2 linked regions of the Cricetulus griseus genome follow. The protein of the gene in region 2 purifies or fractionates together with the protein of the main gene of each other region. This does not show direct contact. Links are inferred from orthologs where the notes say so. Each region holds a gene or a part of one and is shown on either strand. Other genes may lie near its edges.

Region 1 (8,475 bases), on a different chromosome or scaffold from region 2:
ACCTAAGCGGAAAGCCAGATCAAACTTTAGGTTCCGAAGTCTACTTGTAGTAAAAAAAAAAAAAAAAAGCAGAAGGGACTAAAAGGGAAGAAAAGGGGCCAGCTGGAGGGGGGCCTGGTGGAGCCCTGAGAGGGTATCGAACAAAATGTATGACAAACATGCGTGTATGAAATGTCATGGTGAAAACCACTAATTTATATGCTAACTAAAACATAATAGTGTATCAAAACCTACCTTTGATGCCAGTATCTGTGTCAAAAGCCAAGGTAATAATTTGCTTAAGTGTTATTGAGATTGGAACTTTGTAGAAGGTCAGTTATTTGCTCAAGGCTTGAAACTTAATTCTCAGAAGAAGACAAAAGCAATTATCTTTGTGGCTTTGGGATAGGTGGAGAGTCCTTACACAGGACACAAAACACTAGGCCTTAAAAATAAGCAAAGATTGATAAATTGGGCTGATTAAAAATTAAGAAATTATTTTAATCAGAAAGTAACATTAAACTGTAAGTCAGCCACAGGTTGAGAGAAAGTATTTGAAACAAAGGACTTATATCAAGAATATGTAAAGAACTTGTAGAGTTCAAACTGGCAAACGACATGAATAGATACATCCCTTAAAGACCATCATAATGGATGGTAAACATCTGAAAAGTTGCTCAATCGAATTGATCACCAGAGAAACAATGTTTAATTACAATGAAATGCACATCCCTGTTTTTAATTTAAAGAGGAAACACTTGGGCCCGGGAGATGGCTCAGCGAGCAAAGCTGCTTGTGGCCAAGCCCGATGAGGACCTGAATCCAACCCCCAGATCCTACACCTTGGGAGGAGAGAACCCACTCCCAAGTGCTGTCCTATGACCTCCACATACCCACTGTGGTATGCACACCACCCTCCAACAAGAAAATATAGTTAAAACATTTTAAACACCTTGATACCAAAAGTGGTAAATATGTGTTATCATCACCAGGAATCTTACAGTACTGGTTGAACATAAACAGTTTATCCCTTTTGTTTTAAAAAATGTATCTATTTTTTTGTTTTATGGTTTAAGTTTTTATTTTTTCCTTGGTTATTTTTCATACTCAGATCACTGGCAATATATTTAAAGCTTAACATGTGTATACTCTGTAAACCAGAAGTTCCAATCCCTAGCATGTGTGTGACATGAATGATGCTTCTACACATAGAAGACTATTTTCAGCAAATTCACTATGGACTGTCCAAAAACCTGAAGCAACTGAAATGGCTACCAAACAGTAAATTGAGAACATAAACTGTTGGTTATTGAACGAATATGCAGTAGTGAAGAATGAGTCACTGTTACATACAACAGAGAAATCTTACAGACAGAAAAATTCTCACTCTCTATTTCAAGTTCATGTCAAGTTCAAATACCAGTGCAACTGAACCCTATGAGATAGTGAGTGGCAGGAGCCATGGCTAAGCTGGACTATTGTGGGTGACAGCCCTGTGGGTACTCACACCCATCATTCAGCACACAATAATAGACACTGTGAGACCATTCAGTGCTCACACCATCAACAACAAAACTGACCACCTACCCCTGAATTTGTGTTCAAGAACAGGGACACCCAATCTCTGTAAGTTCTCATACTGATGTCTTATACTGTTACAATTTCCCCTCCCCCCACCAGAGAAAGCCTGTACTTGAGAACTCTTCGCAGCCTAGCAGACACTGCAGGGCACTCATGCTAGGCAGGGGTGGTAGGAGAGCAGAGAACACTGATTCAGGAAGTCATCTTGCACCCCAGGTACCCAGGAGAGAGTCAAAGGAAGCTCAACAAGTGTTTATTAATGACTGCTTTCTGACTTACACAGCACCTGGCATGCACTTTATTTCAAGCAGTGCATGATTAATAACTATTTTCCTAATTTTGTTGTTGTTGTCGTTTTGTTTTCGAGATAGAGTTTCTCTGTATAACAGCCCTGGCTGTCCTGGAACTCACTCTGTAGACCAGGCTGGCCTCGAACTCGCAGAGATCTGCTTGTCTCTGCCTCCTGAGTGCGGGGGGATAAAGGTGTGCACCACCACCACCACCACCACCACCACCAGGCCTATTTTCCTAATATTGGTCTCAGTTATCCCATCCTTACTCCTATCCTGCAGATGGGAAGTAGAGGTTCATGGAGGATAGGTTAAGCCAGTCAGGAAGGCTGGGCCTGGTAGGCCACTCCTGTAATCCCAGTCGTGGGAGGTGCACACTGGAGGATCAGTTAAAGGTCAGCCAAGGCTACTTAGAGGCCTGTCTGGGTTCAGGAGACATTGTCTCAAAAACCCAAACCCCAAATAAAACAAAAACAGCTCCTCTCAAGGCCCTCCAGATATATAGTGGTGAAGGAGATTCCCACTCATTAGCCTGAATTCTGAAGCAGAGCGAGCCATCAACCAACCACGTGTAGGGGTGTTAAGGGCAGTGTCCGGGGTCCCCCGCCCGGCGGGTATTAACAGGTCACAAAGCCCTTTGCCGTTCGTTCTGAGGGCCTAGATGCTGTGCTTTAGGCTTTTGTGATGGGTTCCGGGGCCACTAACTAACTGCACACAGGTGGTCCCGCGGCCAGAAAATCAGCTGCTTCCTTTCCTCCAGGACCACGATCTCACCTCCAGCCAATTTGCTCGAGGAATAAGATTTCCAGGACCCACCTAAAAGTTTTCTGATTTCACAAACACCCCGCGAGACAGGCGTGGGCTTCCACTCCCGGCTCCCGGAATCAGGGAGCCACTGGTGCCAAGAGCGCCCAAAATTCAGAAAGAAAACGCAACCCACAGGGAGCAAGAATGGTGGAGGTGAGAACTCTCGGGGCAAGGGAAGGCAAAGACCAGGAGCCGCAGAGAAGGAGGCGAGCGGACAGAGCGAAAGTGTCCCCTCAACTCCTAAATTGGTGGCGACACAGCCCCCTCTCTATTGCGCCTGCGCAACGCTGCCTCCGGGCTACCCCGCCCCTTCGCGCCTCCGGAGGTTTACTTGTCTCTCGGCAACCATTGACCCGCAGAGCCAATCAGAGGGCGGCATTCGCCCGGGCCCCCGCCGTTAGCGCCGGGCGCAAGGATCCCGCGGGGCCGCGGCCGGCGCGCCCCGCCCTGGCTCCCCCGGGAGGCCGGCCGCGGGCGGGGGCAGGGGCGGGGAGGCGCGGGGGAGTGGTCAGGCCGGTTAAGATCGGAGGGGGCGGCGGCGGGACCGCTCACTCGCGGCAGCTGCCTGGGGGCCATAGTCACCGCGCCGCTCCTGCTCGGGGCTGCCCACGCCAACCACCTGCCTCTGTCGCCTCCTCTTCCAGCGTCCAGGTGAGTCTGCGCTCCTCTTCCTCCGCAGGTGTGAGGATGCTGCTGCGGTCCAGCGGGGAGCCACGCTCTCACGCTCCCGGGTTCGTCCCAGCAGAGCCTGGTGGGATTCCCCGGAGATGGAGGGGAGACACCGGCAGGTGTCAGGACCCGCACGGCTCCTGCGCCCCTGGCTCAGGCTACCTCCGTGAGAGAGCGCAAACTTTTCAGAGACTATGACCGGGGTCTGGCAAACTTGGGCGAGCTCCTGCTGGCCCGGCAACAGGAGAGTGGGTGGCGATCACTTCTTGCTCTTTCATTGACCCTGCCAGTAGGTCCGTCGGCTCTGCGCTGCGCCCCTGTGGTGCGCACACTGCAGCCAGAACCGGGGCGGTTTTGAACCCCGCGGTTTCGGCGGCTTAGATGGAGACGCTGCGGTCCGGGGTTAGAGCCTGGCAGGCGAGGGGAGGGCAGCTTCCTGGGCTCAGTGCCCAGGATGGCGGCAGAGATCATTCTCTCTTCTGGGACTGTGGACATTGCGCGCGGCCAAGAAGCTGCGCGTCTCTCGGAAACTTCTCGAGAATACGGCGACTGAGAAACCTGGTTCCTCCCCTTGGGGATCGAAAGTTGCCTACCGCGTGTGCTGAAAGTCGTGCAGAGTTAGTTGACTCTGATAGCGGTGCTGTTGGTGACTTAGAGGCGCGGCTGCCCGTTGCGGTGTGGGTACCCTTTACCGCCGTTCGCGAAGAGGGTGGGTGGGACATCTGAGGAAGTTGAGGAACCTGCAGTGCCAGCTGGTAGCCCTTACACCTAAGTTCTGATACTCAGTGAGCGGGCGGGCGGGCGACCTCAAAGTCAAGGGGGGGGGGCGCTGGTGAGGAAATGCCTATTTGGTTTTTCCAGAATATAGAATTTCCACCTGAGCCGATTGTCAGATCTGGGTAGTCTCAGCCCCTTTTCTCCCCTCTCCCCCTTTAAATGTGTAGAAACCCTTCTGCAGGGCCGTGACTAATTCCTGGTCTGAAATCCTTTTTGCCCCTCGATTTGAGGATAAAGTGCTGACAACGAAAGACTTAATAGACTTAACAGATTTGCAAAGAACAGCTATATATGTAACCGTTTGAATTGTGACGAGTTTGGTTCTGGAAGTAAAAGTCAAGATGGTTAGCTCCTCCTTCCAGCTGCCCCCTGGAAGGAGGGTGAGGGTGGCCATTGCTGGCTACAACTTCCAGTGTAGTTTGCTTGGCAAGGCAGTGAGTGAGCCAGAAAGCTTGCCAGGCAGCCGAGAGGGTGGAAGGAAAGCTTACCAAGAATTCTACCGTGCTGGAAGTCTCCAGAGGTGTGATTCCCCGCCCCCCCCCCACGCCCCACATTTTACCCTGCAGTTGAAGGGTGTGGGGTGGGGACTAAAGAAGGTTGAATTTCTTCTCCCTGCGGCCAGCTGGACCAACTGTGGTTCTGTCTTTTGCCATTCTTGTTTGTGAAGATCAAGTTCTTCGTAACTCTGAGCAGGTAGCTGAAGGGACACCTTGGTTTTGGAGTACCCAGATGTGAATTAGGAGCTTTTTGAAGATTCTGATGTGTAGAAGATTTTGATGTTTGTAATAATTGTTCCAGTATCTACACAGAATGTCCCTTACTGTCATTAAAATTATGGAGGTGGGGTGCTCAGCTATCTCTAGACTGTTACCAAAAGAGAGGTCCCTACTTTTGTAAGTAACTTTAGTGTGTGCACCTAGAGCAAATAGTCACACTCTTTAGGGTGAGTTTCTCCCATAATACCTGCCTTGTATCTGGAGATCAGTTTGTGAACTCTAGAGGGAAGGGTTTGGCTCTTGGCCTGTTGGTCAGAGAGTGTGTGGAGTGCTAAGGGCTCACTCTTCAGCTCCACTGCCAGTATCATTACCAAGCTTTCAGCCTGACTTGCAGCCTCCTGCATTCCCTATCCGTCTCCCAGTCAAGCACACACTTAGTCTGCATCCTCCAGTGTTCAAGACCAGGCAGATTATATGTGCCGTGCACTGCCCACCAGACAGTTCAGCCACAGCTCAGCCATGAAGGTGATTTAAAAGTGGGCTGTTGTGTGGTTAGTGAGGCTCAGCTGTTACAGAATCAGAAAACTGCATTGAATGTTTCCTTCCTTTCTTCCTTCCTTCCTTCCAGCTCCATCCACTAAGTAGTACCTTTTTCTTCATCTTTCTTCTTTGCTATGCCATCCTAGAGTCAGCCAATGAAGAAGGGCAACCGGGTTAGATCGTTGTTGCCTATATTACTGAGAAAAGCTATATAAGCCTGAGGTATGGTGGCGTTTGGGAGTTTATCTCCTTCCTGTCCCTGAAACACACAACTCTCTCTCTCTCTCTCTCTCTCTCTCTCTCTCTCTCTCTCTCTCTGTGTGTGTGTGTGTGTGTGTGTGGTGTGTGTTTGTGTGTGCTGTGTGTGTTTGTGTGTGCTGTGTGTGTGTATGTGTTTAGTCTGAGGCGTTTCCTGGACTAAGACTGGTCTGTTGCTCTCTCTCATTATTGAAGAAACGGGGAAATGTGGAAAGCTGCCCTCCACCATCTTGGTGTTTTGACTGTAGCTAATGAGGTTGTATTATGATGACGCCAACTCCTCCATATTTAAAGAAGTGCCCATGAGTTTAAAGCTACTTGAGACAACAGTAAAGCCGACCTCTTAATCTCTTGGACCATAGGTTTCTCCCACTTTTTAACCTTTTGATGGGATGCATTCCTTGTAAGGAAGCTTTTATTTAGAATTGAAATGGTCATAGAAAGTAGCATCTTTACATAACCCAACTGCATAAGGGGACCTTGTGAACTGTTTCAAATTAGTATTCTGTACAGCTGGCCCTTGTAGCTTGCTCTTGAAGTGTTTGCAGAACTTTTTGGAACAACAGAAAAAAAAACTTAATATGAAGAAATAATTACTGACATGAAGCAGATCTGTGTGCAAGGAAGCTTTATGGTTTCAGAGCATTTTCCACTGTGGGTCATTCAGCTGCAAGGAGGTGCTTATTTCTTGGATAAGGGCAGGCAGGCAGGCAGGCAGGCGGGCGGGCGGTTGGGTCAGAAAGTACTTCCTAGGTGGTATTTGGTGCCAGGTGCTTGGGAGGCTTAGGGAGTGGTATGTGAAAAGCCTGTGGAAGAGCTTTGGAGGTGAGAGCGGCTAGGCTGCCTTTATGATGCTCTTGAAGAACTTGTTTTTCTCTCAGTTGTCTCGCCCCCCTCCTCACACATGGACCCCAGAAAAGTAGGATTTCTGGTCACTCTATAGAGTCCTGATCCCTGCCTAGAGAGAGTGCATGCATGGCCTTGCATGCAGACATATTCCTCTAAAGAGAATGCACCTTCTACTGAAGGCTGCCTGTTGCTCCTCCCAGACAGAGTAGGAAGCTCGATTGGATTGAGTGTTCTGCTGGGTCAAGTCCTGGAGGATGGAGCTTCTTGCATCAGAGGCTCCTGGTCATCTTTTCAGGGAAGCCTCAGCAGTGTAGGTTTGGAGCTGAGGAGCAGTGAGTGCAAATAGATTAGCAGCTGAAACTCCTAAGCCTGGCCAGCCTCTAGCCCCACCCCCCAGCTCTCCACCCTCCCTCCTGTCCTCCCAGCCCCAGCTAGCTCACTCAGCCTTTCTCTCTCCGTGTTCACTCAGCTGCTGGCTCTGCTGACTCGTTCTTTTTTTATTTTTTATTTTTTTTGTTTCTCACTGTCATCACTGACCTGGTTTAGGGGACTGTAGACAGGAGCTGGATGAGAGTAGCAGCAGCCTCCCTGTCTCTGGCCAGAGAGATCAGTCCTCTGCCTGGAGCACTAGAGTAAGTTCCCAGGATCTGCCCATCCCTGAGATCTCCCTGTATTCCTCTAAGATGCTATTTCCTGATGCTTTCCTGGCTGCTCCATGGCAGGTGGTCCCTAACTGTCCTACCCTGCCTTGCAAAATACAGACTTTGATATTTGGGGGAGGAGGGATTGAGCACAACCCCTTCCCCCAAATGAACTTTATTTTAATATGTCTTTGGGACGTCTGTTCAGGCTCTGACAGATCTTCTCTCATCCGAGAGCCATATTTTCCCACATCTTTCTGCTCCAGTATTTTACAGTTTTCTTTTGCATATTTTCTTGTTTCTAAAAAAATAATATGGAACTAAAAGGCTTTTTTTTTTAAAGAAGCCCCCTGTTGTCTCCATATCTGGTCTCTATTTAAAAAAAAAAAGTGAAGAAAATTATTCAGGGATCATGAATCATCATCTCCTTATCCCATTCAATCCCCCTTCCCTTCTCTCCACACTTGGCCTTACAGAATGAGGCCAGCCCGGCCTGGCTGCATGCCCCTGCCTCTCCATGCACTGTGGTGTCCTTGTCCCTGCTTGTCATAGAGTTGGGCATCAGGACTCTAGCTGCCTGAGGCTATAGTGCTGTGGTGTGGAATATGGGGATATAGACGAAAGAGTGGGTTCAAGACACAGGGGTGTTTGCTCTGGATTGGTCATCTGGCATTCAACACCATTGCTGCTACATCTCATTCCTGACTGCTGTAGACTTTACACTTACTTCCTTGCCTTGTAGGCTGCCTTTCATTGGGACACTGATCCTGGCAGACCCTTTACTACTTCAGGCTTTCATTTCTGTATTGTCATCCACAGCAGACAGAATCATTGGTGTCCCATAGACATATGGGAACAGAAGCCTGGTAAATTTCATTTAAACCATAAATCTATTTATCTATTTAACTTAGTATGTCAAGTAATCAGTGCAAAATCCCATAACAGAGATATTTTATATCCCTCCTTAATATCAAGTCCCTGAAGTCTATTTTGCATTCTGTATACACTGTGCACTCTGTTTGGACATTCTACCTTTCAAGTGCTCAAGAGCTACATGGCTTGCAGCTACTGTATTGGGTAGTGCAGGTCTAGACCATGTGCAAAAATGTTTGACTCTCAAATCCTGATTCTCTGTGTGTGTGAGAAGCAGTAGTGAACCAACCAAAGTCACTGAAGAGTGTCTACAGGACACAAGCTCTGTGTGGCCAGGGGTCTCTGTCCCCTCCCTTCTGATCAGAGTCCCAGGAGAGTGCTTCCAACACAGGAGGTACTTGGGTATCTGGACAAATGAGCAGCATTGGGTCATCACACTGTCTTACTGATAAGCATTCATCCTGCGAGGCAGACTTAATGCCAAAACCCAAGCCG
Region 2 (8,670 bases):
TATTAATTACTCCTCCCCCCTTCTTTTTCCAAAAGAGGGTCTCAACAGTGAAGCCCTGGCTGGCCTGCCCTGGAACTCACAATGCAGATCAGGCTGACTTCTAACTCAGAGGTCCTCCTGCCTCTGCCTTCGGAATGCTTAAAGGCATGTGCCACCATGCCTAGCTGTTAGTTTCTTCTTAAAGCAAAATGGTAAGTCAAAATTGTACAAGGTAGTAATCCAGAAAGGCCAAAACCTAGTTCAAGAGGCATATACTGTCTTTAAGCTTAAGATAGTAAAAATATTTATAAAGGAAGGCAAATTATAGACATAAAAGCATAAAAGATTAATTTTAGGTTTGGTTTTAATGGTTTTTAACAGTAAAATAAAGGGGAGAGACAGTACTGATTCTGTCCAGGCAGTGTCCCATTTACTCTTTCTAACACCTAACACTGACCACATACAAAGCCTAAATGCCTGCAAAGTGGGAAAAAAATGTTCTTATGCTATATTTTAATCTCTTGATATCACAAACTATGTAGTAGCCCTCACCAACTGATCCATAAAGCTAACCTCAGGCACTACAGGTCATCTGGTGATAATACAAGAAGCACAGTGGGAAAATAGAAATAGTGCTGTCTTAGACATACATGTTATGAATTTAGAAATTTCAAAGGAATGTTTAATAATATAATTGAAGTTTTAAAACAACCAGTATTTATCCTTTGAAATTAGCTTAATAACCTTAAAAATCTTTTTTTTTTTTTTTTTTTTTTTTTTTTTTTGGAGACAGGGTTTTGCTGTGTAGGTGTAGCCCTGGCTGTCCTGGAACTCACTCCGTAGACCAGGCTAGCCTCAACTCACAGAGATCCGCCTGCCTCTGCCTCCTGAGTGCTGGGATTAAAGGTGTGTGCCACCACACCCAGCTTTAAAATCACGTTAATAGGAATTTTTTTTAGAGATTTCTGGGTCTTTCTTCTCTCCTTTAATCTACATGGTATAACATTTTTCTAGATGACTCTAGGTTATCCATCTATTACTAATTATTCCATAACAGTGACTCTTCTTAGAGTTCCTGTAGGATTTCTAAATGTTTAGAACTCACCTTGGGCCACCTTTAAAAGACAAGTTATTGCTCCCCTGTCATCACTTACAAACCACCAAGACCCTAACCAAGGTTTCTAAATGCCAGTTGTATTTTTTAGAACTATAAACCCAGCACAGAGTTGATCCACTTAACCTCACAAATTCTAAAGCCAGTCACTGTGTAGCTGCTTCACTGCCATAAGGCCCAGCTCAAAGACTTCTCTTACTTCCTGTTTTGGAGACCTAGACTAAGCTCTTCCCAGAACTTTAGGCACAAAGTGATAAGTATAGTAGTAGTTAGTCTGGCATATTTTCCTTATTTTTATATACCACAAGAAAAGATATGTATACCACTTCAAACAACCATTGGGAAAATACTTCACAATATGTGCTATATGGACAGTCAGCTACCAAGACTCAGTGAACTAGGCCAGATGGCTAACATGGTTTTTACATTTTAAAAAGATTCTTTTAAGCAAGCAAACAAGCAATAATATTCATCAGAGACTACAAATAGCTTGCAAGACAATATTATCAAGCACTACATAAAATAGCTGTCTACCCTTATCTAAGTTAAATAAACACACAACACAATCTACCTACTAAGAAATTTGAAGCTAGAGACCAAAATGCTAAGTGAAACAAAACAGAGGAAGAAAGATAAACACCATATTTTCTCTCGTATACCTAATTTTTACATATTTTTGTCTGTCTAGGTAAGGCATAAAGAGGAAGTGCGACTATGGCGGTATTAAGGGAGAGGGAGGTGGGAACAAGAGAAGGTAATAAGGAGGCACACTTTTCTCTCATAGACACAGACACACTGGCGCGTGCGTGCGCGTGCGCACATGCATGCACGCACACACGCACTCGAGCACACTCTCTGGAAATGAAAGCAGAAGAGGCATTTTGGGGAGAAATGGGGGCCTGAAAGAAGCAGGAAAGAGGGTCCAAACATGGTAATGGAGAAGAGAATGAGCCCAGTACAGTGATACATGAGGATGAGAATGTCATATTGAAATCTATTCTTTGGTATGCTATAAAAAAAAAAATGATGTGTGGTTCTTTATTTCTTTCAAAGATAGGTTCCTACTGATGAGCAGGACTTTCTTCTCCAGGGCTTTCTACTCTTCATACCTAGTGAGGCCTAGCTCTAGTCTTTACCTCATTCTCTTTTTCCTAATGCCTGTCCTTGGATGCTCCCAAAAGGTCTCTCCGGCTGCTAGCTCCAACTCTGCCTGTCGCTCTCTTTTAGAGCTTTCCTTTGATACATAAACACTTCCTAAATTTCAAGTTGGACTTCCTCCAAATGCCAAGACGGTTCTAGCCCTCCCTCACAGAGCTTTGGTCACAGTGGGTGCCACACCTTTAACAATATTGTGTTATAGTTTTTGCTAATGGTCTCCTTTGTTAGTGTACAATTCTCAAATAATTGTAAATGGCTTGAAGGAGCATATCCAGCTGCTTTTGTATCCCTTACTTTGATAATAGCTCATCACCCTTTGAGTCCTTGCAATCTCCTCCGAAAATATACTATCTTGTAGCAGCTATCTTGTGCAGAAAAGTAGCCTAAGTCCTGGAAATGGTTAACAGAGGATAGGGAACATCAGAAATAAAACCCAGAGAACTTAATGGAAGCCCAGAGGCTGCACAACAAACTTAGTATACATTAAAGACAGACAAAACCCAAACAGTAGGAGAAAAGGTTAAAGATTGTGACATAAAAAGAATTCACTGAATAATACTCTGAAAAAAAGACTAAAGTATTAAAAAGGATAAACACGTACAAAACATGTAAAAGAACAAAAATGTGCCCTTAACAATATTGGTAATCAATTTCTTTGTGATAATGAGCTCTGACATTGATACACATTCGTTGTACCAAAGTGATCAATTAAAGTACCACAGGATTCAATGGGCTAGACATGTACAGAATTCTAAATCTGTTTTAAAACATTCAGAACTTAAGTAGTAGTCCTTGTTCGAGAGATTACATTTAACAACAACAAACAACCACCTATCACTTACCATCATCAGGCTAATAAATTTGGAAATCATATGCCCATCCTTGTATCATGCTCTAAGACATAATCAAAACTTATTTTCATGAAAAGAAATGCTCCAAGAATGTTTTGCTTTAAAAAAAATTATTTTGGTTACATTAACACTACAGGCAAAATGCAAAATTAATGACCCTTAAATATATAAACAGCAAAAATACAAATATTTTCAAAACAAGCAGAAATATTACCTATAAGTCTAAACTAAAAAACAATGTTCATTATCTCTTTTTTTTTTTCTCCTGTGTTTTATAGGATCTCTCAGCCTTCATCTCACTAGACATGGAAGGCAATTTGCCTGATTTATAATAAGATAAAATTTATAGAAATACAGTATGTAAAAAAGGAATCATGAAATGCATAGTAAAATAGAATCAACTGTCAATTACACAGAGAGAGGAAATAATGACATGTGACACCAAAAGTCTGTTTTCTTGAATGCTCAACATTAATCTGGGAGAAGAAAATCCCCCTTACAATTGTAACTTAACACTGGAGGCAGTGTTAAGCAAGAGTTTTTTTTTTTTCCTGATCACTCAGTGATGAGGGAGTCACACAGAGGGAAAGGAAGGAGTTAAGGCAGGCGCATACAGGTGGGTAAAGGTAACCAGCCTGAGATAAAAATTTTCCACTTCATCTACAGAGAAAACTGAGAGATGATCTATGAAGACAAGGAAGAAAAGTACAGAGAAATGTAATATGAGAATGCTAAAATTCTTAAATATAAGCAAGATTTTCCCTCTATCACCTCATCATCTCTCCTTCCCTTTAAAGGGTGTTATTAGTGGTAGCAGGAATTACAAGTGGGCTAAAATGCTAAAAACAAACTCTCATATTTATATTTTAGAAAAACCATGTTTTAAAAAATCCTTGGCATTGCTTTCTATTAGGCCCACTATCTGTCTCCACGGGTAATTTATCTCATTAGTTGGGAAAATTAATTCAAACAAGAAAATATTAAGAAGGCAGGGGACTCATCCTTCTGCAACATTTTTAGGTGGCTTAAACAAAACTTACAAGATGGCAAGAATTACATACTTCACAAATACACAAAAACTAAATATTTATCTAAACACGAGCTCTGAGCCAGAAATCTCAATTTGTTTCTGTCTGACATATGGCACAATCTTGAGTGGCATATGTTTAGCACTAATGCTGGTAAAAGCACAGTGATTAAAATATTATAGAATAGCTTCAACTGTTATTTCATTCTTACAACTGATCTTTTCCAAAAGGCAGAGAAGCAATACGATTTGATTCTTATGACACAGAAAAACACGCACAAACTTGGCTTCTCAGAACTAAGATAGACCACAATACCGAAGCAGCAAAATCAATATATGGCTCAATTTTTTTAAAGTCTACCGTGAACACATAAAGATTAAACTATAAAAAGAGGAAAATCCTGTCAGCCTACCCTTCTCAGAAATAGATGGACAGACAAGAAGGTGCCCAAAGGAAAGACTTTACAGTCTCACAAGAAAAAAAAAAAATCTCTAGCTCACCATCCCCAGCAATCGTCACACACACACACACACACACACACACACACACACACACACCCCACAATTCCACGGCTTCTATAAAAGGTGGTAGTTTAATTTAAAAATAAAAATAATACGATTACCTATCGCACTCTTTTCAAGACAGCAGCGCTCGCGATCTGACGTCGAAATGATTTGCTCGCTTTCCTGCACCAAGCGCACGACGCCCTTTGCAGAGTCGTGTCAAAAGTTCACCCACGCAGGCTGGGGAGCCTGGCGAGGACCGCAGCCTCCCGTCCTCCTCCCGACCGAACAGGTGGTTAACTTACCTGGGCACGGGAACCGCCGGGTGCTGGCAGCCGCGGCCGGCCGCCGGGGCGCAGACCCGAAGGGCGTGTTTTCGAGGATTTAACCCCCAGGTGAGCGGGCTGAGCTCCGCGGTCGCCGCCGAGCCCCTGCAGGTGCCGCGCACGTCGCCGCCGCGTCCCGGACCCGCCGCCCCACGGACAGCGCTCCCCCTCCCTCCCACACGGGGCGGGGGGGAGGAGGGGGCGTCGCCCACCCCTCGACGGGCTCAGCCCTCGGGCGCCGCGACCCCGCAGCCCCAGCCTAACGGTTTCCCCGACGCGGGCTCCCACGTCCCCCGCCGGCTCTCACCTCCGAGTGCCGCCGCTCCGAGGCGGAGGAAGGCGGATCCCCTGGCGTGTCTTCTGCGGGGCTCCGGATCGTTCCTCTCACAACCGTGACGGTGGGCCCGGCTCCCGTGGCCGCCGCTGCGCGCACTGTTGGGGGTTGTTTCCCGGCAGTGACGGCGCCGCCTCAGCCCCGCTCTTCGCTCCCTCTCCGCGTAGCTCCCGCTTTCTGTTTCACCCGAGGGACCGCGAACGCCGCCGCCGCCATGATTACTACGGAGCCGGGAGGAGGAGGAGCCCCGGAGTCGGCGCGCCCAGTGCGGCTGCGCGAGCCCCGCCGACGGCGCCCCCGGCCGCGGGGACCCGGAGCCCCCGCGCGTGCTCGTGGCCCCGCGTCCAGGCTTCGCGGGCGGCTAGTGGTGCGGCGCTGCCGCTCTCCCTAAGCCGGGCAGTGCCCCGGGAACTGTGCTGATGATTGACATATCCGGAGCCACACACGCCATTCCAAAAGCATTTGAGAAAGCGTCCCCACCCTCCACCCCCGGAGATGAACCGTGTCAGCCCCTCTACGAAAACCCAGAACTTAGAACGCGGGCAGGTGCTTTGCGCTCAGACGTCTCCACTCCTAAACGTTTAGAGCCCCGGGTATTTGATAGCACCCACAAAACGGATTTACTTCGTTCCGAAACGCAGTGGTTAATCTCTTGGTCTCGGACCAGCCAAATCGAGTGGAAACCCGTTACCTTGATTTCTACAACAGCGGGGACCGAAGCGAAGGCGGCAGCAATTTCGTTAAGCCTCAAGCAGTGGGGGACACGCTGCGGTAATACCTGAGGGCTGGCCAGGACTGCTTACTTTTGCAGTTTCACCGGAAGCCTTGGGGAGAGGGTCGTCTTTGGGAACCTGAGTCCTACCCTGTCCTTCCAAAACTGGTGCCTGGCGAAACCAGGCTCCACGTCTGACTTGTATTTCGGTTTATTAACTGTGCTGCGTTTTAAGATGGCAATCTTGTTTTTTTTTTTTTTTTTAAACCATATGACAGAAATCTCTTGAAGATGTACGTATTTCTTACGTTCTCAAAGAAAACAATGGATAAGGAAATTCTTAGCGGATCACTGACTATCAAATGGAATTATTCAGACCCTACACCAAAGTCCCAAGGGATTGCAGAGTGTATAGAGTCCCCACTTTTGGTGCTTTTTTCCCCCACTGTTCTCCTCACTTTTGGCGAAGACCCCTCACTTAGCCTTGATTTATCTGCCTCTATATCCTCTTTAACCCTTTCTATTTTCCGGTGGTGGTGGTGATGTCTTTTAAGCCCTCTTTTTTTTTTTTTTTTTTTCCCTACTTTTCTCCATGGCTGCAGGCAATAATTGATCGGTGTTTATATCCACAGCCAGCTAATGAGAAGATCTTTTTCTTCCCCTTAGTAAGTAGGACAGTGACACTATCAAATGCTATTTTGAGATGAGTTTTTTTTTTTTTTCTTTTTGCTCTTCAGTGAAGGACCAGAAGTCCTTTCCCTAAGAGAAATGTTTCATTTTCTTAACTTCCAGCTTTGGCCCTCTTCCAGACAAAATTGCTGGAAAGCTGATCTTGGAATAACAGAAGTATAACTGCTCATTGTTTGACAACATAAGAGTTTATATCAGACTGTGGAGGAGTTGTGTGGCTTCTCCATCCTGCAGCCCAACTGTTGTTCGGTTTGAGGCTAAACTAGTGGTCTCCAAATTTAACTCTAAGCTAGTATTTTCCAAAGCTTTGTGCTTGTGAACTCTGTAAAAATGCAGAATCCTACAATCTGCCCCTTCAAGATTCTGGTTCCCTCATTCAGCGGTAGACAAAGCAATAGATTTTTAAAATAAACCTGCATTTTGAGAAGTATGTGTAAAGTCCGTGTACATACCATAGGCAGAGCAAGAAATAATAGCTCCATTGAAGGAGATGGGGCCATGTAATTCAAGACATCACTGAAGCAGAACTAGACACTTTGATATGATACACAATGCTGTGAGATGGAGTTGGGTAAAAACTGGGGGATTTATATTCTGTGGCGAGAAAGAAACATACACATAAATCACCATAGTCAGAGAGGCACAAGAAACTATGCTGGCTTTGAACAGGCCTTTATTTTCTTTATCAGTAAAATAAATGCCATTTCAACCGTCATCCTTCTTGAGCTCCAAGCAAGAGTAAACAGTTTGAACACTGTTCTTCCTTGAAATTTTCTTCTTTATTTAGCACCCATTTTCTTAATTTTCCTGCTATTTTTCTGGGCACAGTTTCTCCAGTCCCTTTGGGTATTTCCATTCTTCTCCCTGCCTATTACACATGTGTGGGCTCAGTGTTTAAGAGCAAGTGCTGCTCTTGCCAAGGACATGAATTCAGTTCCCAGCACCCACATTGGGTGGCTCACAACCACACACATAACTCCACTTCCAGGAGTTCCAACACCGTCTTCTGGCCTCCAATGGAACTTGCACTCATGTGCTCAACACACACACACACACACACACACACACACACACACACACACACACACACGTAAACACACAGTGCCTTTGCCTGATAATTGGTGTTTCCTTCATGGGGATGTTTTGATTGACTATCATTCTTCTCGAACACCCCTCCATCACTATTTTGTCTTCATCCTTTAGTCTAGCAAGAACTGTCCCTATCGTTTCAGAATGCTTGGGCTTTCTGCATGTTGATGCTGCTAAGGAAGCACCAGTGCAGATTCTCATTTCCCTGCTGCCAGGTCCAAGTCAAAGTCTCCTAAGGAGCCTGCAACCATTTTGGAAGCTGAGGAAGCTCTCCATGGGAGGACTGGGCTTAGAAACAACCTACGGGAATCTGAGAGTCAACCAACTGTGTGGTTATGAGAGATCCAAATGCCAAGTGTTTCAGGCATGGGCTTTGAGTTTGTCAGGTTCGCTGCAGTGGAGAAAGTCCATGCAGTTATGAATGTCAGGCCATACAATGTAGATGGAAGAGTTGGGGAGCCAAAGAGAACTATGCCAGGAGAAGATTCCCAAAAGATCGTTAGTGGCACTGAAAAAGGCATTGAAGAATATCACATGTGAGATTATTTTGAATAGTATGGGAAAATTGAAGTTACTGAAATCATGACTGACAGAAGCAGTAAAAAGATAGGGGCTTTGCTTTGTTGCCTGTAATGGGTGATTTTATGTCAGCTTGACACAAGCTAGAGTTATCTGAAAGGAAGGAATCTCAATTGAGATGGTCTCCATAAAAGCCATCTCTGGGGCATTTTGTTAATTAGTTATTGATTTGGAAGGGCCTAGCCCATATTGGTTGGGCCTCCCCTGCTCTGGGGGTGGTACTGGGTTCTATAAGAAAGTAGACTGAGCAAGCCAGGAAGTAGCACTCCCCCATGATTTCTACATAAGCTTCTACCTCCAGGTTCCT

Evidence for each region.
Region 1: the proteins of Fndc3a (region 2) and Tent5c purify together in Homo sapiens (affinity purification with western blotting; 3 studies listed by BioGRID, with this or other methods). This does not show direct contact. The link is inferred for Cricetulus griseus from reciprocal best matches to the Homo sapiens genes FNDC3A and TENT5C.

The regions. Positions count from the first base shown.
Region 1 is NW_023276806.1:56,480,048-56,488,522, forward strand, and holds the start of Tent5c (terminal nucleotidyltransferase 5C), read left to right. Parts: upstream 1-3,053; 5' UTR 3,054-3,308; intron 3,309-8,475. UniProt on the Homo sapiens protein: Catalyzes the transfer of one adenosine molecule from an ATP to an mRNA poly(A) tail bearing a 3'-OH terminal group and enhances mRNA stability and gene expression.
Region 2 is NW_023276807.1:227,224,283-227,232,952, forward strand, and holds the start of Fndc3a (fibronectin type-III domain-containing protein 3A), read right to left. Parts: upstream 5,395-8,670; 5' UTR 5,267-5,394; intron 4,957-5,266; exon of another isoform or gene 4,939-4,956; intron 1-4,938. UniProt on the Homo sapiens protein: Mediates spermatid-Sertoli adhesion during spermatogenesis.